2 linked regions of the Styela clava genome follow. Each later gene encodes a partner of the first gene's protein in a complex. Links are inferred from orthologs where the notes say so. Each region holds a gene or a part of one and is shown in the gene's direction. Other genes may lie near its edges.

Evidence for each region.
Region 2: the proteins of mediator of RNA polymerase II transcription subunit 16-like (region 1) and mediator of RNA polymerase II transcription subunit 25-like are in contact, whole or in part, in a cryo-EM structure (PDB 7EMF), measured with the Homo sapiens proteins. The link is inferred for Styela clava from reciprocal best matches to the Homo sapiens genes MED16 and MED25. Residues at the interface, in NP_005472.2 of Homo sapiens: Cys41, Arg42, Ser92, Ser94, His113, Arg161, Lys163, Phe171, Gly172, Gly173, Lys174, Pro195, Gly485, Tyr486, Ala516, Ala517, Gln520, Val521, Thr524, Arg525, Ile554, Ala555, Ser558, Lys561, Ser562, Leu563, Leu564, Arg565, Pro566, His567; in NP_112235.2 of Homo sapiens: Ala26, Asn27, Gly29, Pro30, Tyr31, Val74, Asp75, Cys76, Ala77, Pro78, Glu79, Val82, Cys84, His85, Pro87, Lys102, Phe103, Met104, Gly105, Gly106, Gly107, Gly108, Glu109, Thr120, Gln123, Leu124, Asp127, Phe128, Tyr151, Leu152.

The regions. Positions count from the first base shown.
Region 1 is NC_135264.1:6,227,825-6,231,758, forward strand, and holds the start of mediator of RNA polymerase II transcription subunit 16-like, read left to right. Parts: upstream 1-1,320; 5' UTR 1,321-1,398; coding exon 1,399-1,537; intron 1,538-2,203; coding exon 2,204-2,311; intron 2,312-2,873; coding exon 2,874-3,028; intron 3,029-3,747; coding exon 3,748-3,848; intron 3,849-3,927; coding exon 3,928-3,934. UniProt on the Homo sapiens protein: Component of the Mediator complex, a coactivator involved in the regulated transcription of nearly all RNA polymerase II-dependent genes.
Region 2 is NC_135258.1:20,078,246-20,082,179, reverse strand, and holds the start of mediator of RNA polymerase II transcription subunit 25-like, read left to right. Parts: upstream 1-1,499; 5' UTR 1,500-1,601; coding exon 1,602-3,934. UniProt on the Homo sapiens protein: Component of the Mediator complex, a coactivator involved in the regulated transcription of nearly all RNA polymerase II-dependent genes.

The DNA.
Region 1 (3,934 bases):
TAAGGGGTAAGTAAATATGCAATTTCGGCAGATGGCCAACTACGTACCGTACTGAATTATAAACTTCGTAGTATTTGACAAAAGCTGGCTTTCCCGCATGTACTTAACAGTGCGATGCCCGGGTGTGATATACAACAATAGTATTTACCTTACTTTTTTCCGATTTCTTTTTACCTTCAATTTTCCACATATCATTAAAAACCACAACAATTGTCGAAGCAGGCTCGAACACCATTCGTGCTATGCCTTGAAAGCAACACACATCCGCTCGTTTTCGTCTCGTCAAGTATGTGCATTGGAGCGTGCTATCGAATACGATCTTCGGCCAAAAATGCCGGAGTTGCGCATCATGTTGTTTAATGTCATTGCTCCAACTGACCCATGCATGCCACACTGAAAATTCTCTTGTGTACCCATAAAATAAGGCTGTTGGAGCCTTCAGTCATTGAAAACAGTCGAATCTGAGCACGATGGATTTGTTTTCAGAAGCATGGACTTGGATGGTGGGGAATGGTCGTAACCGATCAGTGGTCATGTGAACCACCCTCGGTGGGAGTAGAGATACAATCCTCTCGCATCCTCTCTGTAATTGAAACCTGTGAAACTCTCAGGGTGATCAGAAATGCGGTGGCGAGCGTATTCCTAGATGGCGAATTCAATTGAATTCTGGTTATTTTTTGCATGACCACTGTTGTTAAACTTTAGTTATTTATTCAACCTTTCACACTTAGTAATAGATTACCTGCTAATTAGGGAAACAATACCCTATAGCAATTGATTATTAATTCCTTACTGTCTTACACAAGTTAAGTCTGCAACTGCAAGTAGGCCTACTAATAACAGTAGTTTGTCATCTGCTTTCCATTGAAATGAGGGAGCTTGTGAATATTTAAAGAAATTGATAACGACACACTATCACCCCATTATCACTCACCATCAACGAAGTGCTGTCCGCGAACAGTGAAACACATGTAAGATGGCTTCTGGACTTGACACCAAGCTTTTCTGCCAATGCAATAGGCAATCAGGCAACAGATGATATCCACATTGCGCGACGTTCCGGATCTTTTGAAATCAGTGGAATATAACTGAAGATCCATTTCGTTGTCTATACTATACGTACAGCCAACGGTACAATACGAAATAACCATTTTCAACAGCCAAACAAAACGGAAACGTATAATCCGACTTGCGACTGACAGGAGCCAAATGGACGTTTTTGTTTTATTGCCGTCCAGTAACAGAGTCACGTGACCTGTGCAAGTGGATTCCTAAAATTATATAGCGCTTTGTGCGGTGGGCTTAATCTAAGATCCTGGCCGACGGGGAATCCCCTTTCAATGTAGTCGTTTGCTCGCAGTCGTAGCCTAGCTTGTTATCTGTATAAACAACAAGAAAATGGAGCTTGTTTATCGGATTAGTTCAAATGCAAAGTCATCAGTTCAATCTCTCGGCCACTCCAGTAGTTCTAGTCCCATATCTGCAACATGGTCATGCAATAATCTTTTGGCATATCCATGGGAAAAAGTAGTCAAAGGTTGGTTTCTTTCTGCCATAATGAAGTTTGCTTGTTGCTTTCGTATCGTTTTAGTTTTTGAAAGTGTTCAAAACAATGTCAATTCAAAAATCAAAATTTAGAAGCCTTGAAAATAAATAGAGTTGAATTCCAACTTAGCTCTGTAGCTTGATGCCTGTAATAACTGAATGCAGTAATGAAAGCTTTTCAAAATATAGTAATATTTAACAAATAAATCAGTGGAGCCCATCATCTATTCAAATGTCAGTGGCTATTAAAACTCTCAAAAACCACTTATGATGTAATAATTTAGTTCCTACTAAGAAGAAACTAACATTATACAGTTATATGGATTACAAATGATGCAATTATGCAGTTTATGGCGAAATGAAAAAAATGTGTAAAATATAAATAAAAAAGTTTGTTGACATGCATCAACTTATTTTTACGACTCGCGAGTTATATTATGTGAACCGCTATGATGTGTAATTAGTGAGGAGTAGGGCTATATGGCTTTATGCCTCCTCTGGCATTGAATCTCCAGTGCTTTTAACAAAAAAACTGTTGTAATCACTTCACAAGAGCCAGAGCTTGTAGAACAAAGAACCGAATGCGGCTCAGAACACTCGGGTTGCCGATTGCTAATATATCTGTATATAGTATGCTAATGCCATAATCCATATTCAGGATACACAGAAAGATATGTCAGCATCATTGATCCAAATCAGCCATGGAATGTCCACACAATATCATTCGATAAAGCTTCTGTAAAAACTTTGCAATGGAATCAAACAGGTAAATTGAACATTTCAGCTATTATTAGATCGTCTAGATTTTGACCTTTTTTTCTATTCACATATAAATATACATCAACTGTAAACTTTAAAAAAATCAGTGTTTCAGTAGGGACGTTTGATAGACTGTGGTACCATCTGCAGTCAACTTTGTGAAAATGATTAGTGCTTGCTATTACACGTGATCAAGGATCAAGCGTGAATTTTGCTTATAATTTTATAATTAATTCTTATAATTTTGATGAGTCATCTTTGAGGTGTGTGCTAATGCAGCGGGATATCGTTAGGCTAGTCAGCTCGCTACCCTGATTTTTAACTCTTGTAAATACGTTTTCCATTGAACCTGATATTCAAGGACTTGTTAAAGTGCAGCAAAGGATATACTCATCTCATTGAAAGTAACAATCAAATTATGTCTTGTTTTATTTACATGTTCAATAAAATACAAAAAATGGTTACGTACCAAAAAAATAAACATACAGACACTTTCCAGACATTTTTGAGATACAGAAAGTTGGCATTTAATTCATTTTGAGCGTGTATATCTTTGTTTCTGTAACAAGGCAACAAGTTACTCTGCTCAACTTCAACTGGTTTTTGCAATGTATGGATTTCATCAAATCATCTGACAAATGTTTGGAAAGAAAAATCGACTTATGGATGCGACTTACAAGGGGAAGATATTTTGGCCTCATCATGGCTATCGAATGGACGAAAGGTACTTTGGCGTAGCTATCGTTATTTTTTGGAGCTGCCTAGCACACAGTTCAACTTTTAAATATTTTATCTTATATATTATAATCCTGAAACATGATCCCTTTTTCTAAAACAGACTTATATTAATTCAGAAGTTATTTGAATTAGTTTTCAGCTTCAGTCTTTATTATACAACTTCAATTTGATTGTGTTCAGACTTCAATTCAAAATTTGAGCAATAACTTAGGCTCAGCGGTGGGACGCATTATGAAAAGCGTCAGGAATACACTCGTCACCGCACCTCTGATTACCCTGCATGAGTTCGCAGGTTCGAATCACATGCGGGAATAGGTATGTGCGAGAGAATTGCTGGACACTCGCCTCGTAGGCTGGTACACGTAACCACTGGTCTGTTTCGCATCCTCCATCATCAAGTCCGTGCTCCTGAAAACAAATACCTGGCTAACTAATTTCATACCCGACATTGTAATTCTGGACTGCAGAAAGCATTTATTTGAGTGAAGTTGTGAAATTTCTCACAATTCAAATATATCTTTTCTGTCAATGATATTAGATTTCAAATATTTAGATTTTGATCTCGTTTTTTTTATATGATATATAAACCAGATTATTTAGTAATGTGTGATATTGATGTTAAGAAATTCTATGTAGAGTAATAAAAGTGATAAAGAAGATAACAGAATCTTTCTCTATTATTTTATTTATATTCGCATGCTTTAGGTTGTGCTTCACGTGGACAAGTTGGACAATCCCAAAGAAAAAATATCGAGAGCTCATCACCGACCATCGCTTGCACAACTTGGTGGTCAACCAATGGAAGGGTGAGTTCTTGAAATATTACTTGTAAGTATGTATAAACTGAAATTCTTGTACTAAATGTAACTAAAATAATTTTTTTAGGTATATT
Region 2 (3,934 bases), on another chromosome or scaffold:
TATTTTTCTAAAGAAAATTGAAATAGGACCCTGTTATATTCGGGGAAACAAGTTACGGTATAATAATTTTAAATTCTGAAATGAAAAGTTAGATGCGACAAATTTAATGTGAAATTTATATTTGAAATTGAATGTTAAGAAAAAGTATTATCTAAAATGGTAGAATATATGGATTGACGGATTATAAAATACAAACACACAAATGTAAAAACTAATTTGATGGTTAGGACCTAGAGCTGATAAAATTTCTGGTATTTCCATTTATTACAGTATTATGGTACTGGTATGCTTGGCTCCAATTACAGCTCCTGTTCTTCAGCCCCAGCGGAAATACAAACAAATGGCCAGATGCTAACAAAGAATAGCCCTGGCATTATAGGTCATACAAGTTCCTCAACACCAAACTAAAATTGATCCAGTATCAATTGTAATTCTGAGAGAGCCCCTTTCTAAATCACACGATTTAATTCTATTAATTTATACTGATCGTACTTTATAGAAATTTTTTTTCTATCCATTTTGAATTGATTTTACACAATTTTGTATTGCGAAAGGTGCCGTATTAGTATACATGTCCACTGAGCAGAACATCGGGCACTTGTATGTTTTCCAGGCACTTTGTGGACTATTTTTAATTCTGAATATAGAAAAAGTAGAATACTTTAAAGTAGGGCTGTCCAAAATCGAATAATTTTTCGATTTGAATCGAATATTTTTGCCTAATGGAACCGAATAATCGAATATCATTGCGCAATCCTAAATCCGTCTCTAACATACAATAAACGCCTGCCCTTCGATGTTGTGGAAACGTATGTGCAGTTACATCTTACTTACAGCTGGTATTTTGTAATACAATGTTTTCAGATTTATGAAAGGAGATCACACGCTTGTATGAACTGATCAAAAAAATTGGAGGACTCCAAAATTTGGGTCTCGAAAATTGTTGAGTGTTAAGAGTAATAATTGCACTATTCAAAAATTGCAATCTCAATTCTAATGGATTCAGTTGTAATAGGACATGTAAGGCCTGTAGATGCTATTTTAATCCTATTCACTAGTCTTATGTTTTTTTTGTGTAATTTTCAGCAAAATAATAACAAACATTAATATAGATAAAACTGTTGCTCAAATTCAAAATTGCATTTACCAAATTCAAAGCTAGTTTGATGACAATATTATTCTGTTATTTGATGACTATAATATTGTTAGTGTACAACAGCCATCGAAATTCAAGAGCGCAATTATTTGTCTTGGTATATAGATGGATAATACAGTATTGCCATCATAAGAAATTACAAATTCCATTGAAAGAAGTTCTTGCCATCATAAGGATCCCAAAACACCTGTTTCAGCTTTGAGTTACCTGTACTGTACCATGTTCCTATGATAACTAACTCCACAGCTTCAAATCGATTCTATTTATGGAACTATCGTTTTCTAAATTGTATTTCACTTACAAACTGAGAGAGGTGCTAATTTATTAGACTTTCAATCTATTTGTTATAACATTATGCAATACTTACCTCAATTTCACAGCTTGATTATAATTGAATTATATTCTGAATATTTCTCGATTGCTTGAAACATCACATCCTTTAAACATGGTTGCATCGAAAGATCCAACAGTTGTTGATTTTATTGTTGTGGTTGAGGCAACAGCCAATATGCTATCACATTGGGAAAAGATAAAGAAGTCTTATATAGGGCCAGCAATTGAATATTTTAACGGAAGACAGCCATCCCCATTAGATTATGTTGGTAACCACGGCAACAGTCAGTTCGGCTATGTTCTCTTCAGTTCTGCAGACTGTGCCCCTGATTTAGTAACAAGATGCTCAAATGTCACCCAAAGCCCTTGGGAGTTTTCCCACAGTTTGAACTCCATTTCATTTTCTGGTGGAGGATGTGAACGATCTAGCCTTGTGTCTGAAGGTCTTGGGAGGACCCTACAGCTGTTTGATGAACTTGCCCAAAGGCGTCACCATGAACGTTCCATGCAAGTATGTTTTTTGGTTTGCAATTCTCCACCTTATGATATTCCATGCAGTGAAGCTTATATGTACAATGGTCACACTGCTGGCAAGCTAGCAGAAATAATGGGTACTAAAGGTATTCATCTCTCAGTGATATCTCCGCAACAAATTAGGTCTCTCAAGGACTTATTCATTTCTGCTAATCGAAATGAACTTCCATCTATGAATTATGCTCAAGATCCAAGACATCTTGTTCTTATCAGCGGATTTCAACTTCCTACAGAGCGTGATCCTGTGAAACTCAATATCAAAGATGAGCAAAATCATTCAAAAAATGCATCGAAAAATAACACATTGAATTCAATTTCTGCCACAAGTTCTTCCTCTATTCCAAGTCCATCTCAACATCAAACTGCATCATCTACCACAGTTACTCACAACACACAACTAACTTCTATTGCATCATCTCCCGGTTCACTTTTCTCTACTTCAGTACCACAATCTCAGCCTGGACAGCTAATCAATACAGGTGCAGCATCCACAAATACAAATCAGAACTCATTACCTTCAGGGCAGTCTGTAATGAGAACACAGATAGCACAGGATTTAAATTCAACTTCTCTTGGAAAGCTGCAAACAAGTTTGCCAAGCTTCTCTGTAAGCCAAAATCTTCAACCTCAACCGCAGCAGTCTAACATGAGTATGAATTTTACCAATTCCAAGAACTCAAATATATTACAGTCTGGCAATGACTCTCCTTATTCCAGATCATCTCTTGGTCAGGCATCTAACAACAGCGTCATGTCTCATGGATCTGGCAATGTGGGAACCACAAATCTTAAGGACATGCTGCAACCAAATGCACATTCGTCACATACGCAGATACCTATTTCCAATGTTACTTCGTTCCCACAACCCTCAGATAGTAGTGTCAACATGGTTACAAACAGCATGGGAGGAATAACGGCCACTATTCCTGAAAATTCTGATGGAATGTACAACCAACAAACTCAACAGCAGAATGTATCCATGCAAGACCAGCAACAACAGCAACGATTAGGAAATCAACAAATAACTCAACGCATAGGTGATACATTCTCTTCTGTACCTTCAAACATGCAGCAGGCGCAGCCGTACAGTACTCCTAATGCATTAAATTCCGGAATGCAAAGTAATCAACAAATTTTGTCAAACAATATTAATACATTTACTTCATCATCAAATTCTTTCCCACCAAACCGTGGCATTCGACAGAGTTTCAATTCATCTATGCCCTCTCAGCAATCAGGATCGATTCAAGGAAATGTCACTACTATGCATCAGATGAATAATCCAATTCAACAACAAGCTGGAAACATGGGCATTGGTGGTTCAGCACAACAACCAACCCACCTTTTAAATCATGGGCAAGAGCTACCATCAACATATCTTAACACTGGGAATGTTCCAAAACCTGCTACAAGACAGCCAACAGACAACATGAGGATAACATGGGATGGCATTTTAGAATGGACCGAAAAAAGAAAAATAGCACAAGGAATTCAAGGAACTGCAAGAACTAACCACACTCTCCAATGCAAGGTATTGTTGCGCTCAACTCAATCAGATGAATCATTGAATGCAAACCTGTGGCCAACCAAACTGAACATGCAACTTATTCCTCAAATTGTATTCACTTCAATGAAAAATCAAATGAAGAATAATATTTCTGTCAGTTTGCGAATGTCCCCACTTGACCAAATGCAACAACTGGCAAATATTATGAAAAATAAGTGGATGGGATTAATCCAGATACCTTCTCCGAGTCAAAATTCTGCAGAAAATAAAGTTATGCTAGTAATATATTCACAAAAAACTTCTCAATTTTTCGGGGTTCTTCCACTTGATCCCCATAATTTTATACAAACAATCAGATCTGTAATAGCTCGACATAATCCTAGCCAACCAACGCAGTCTCGGCC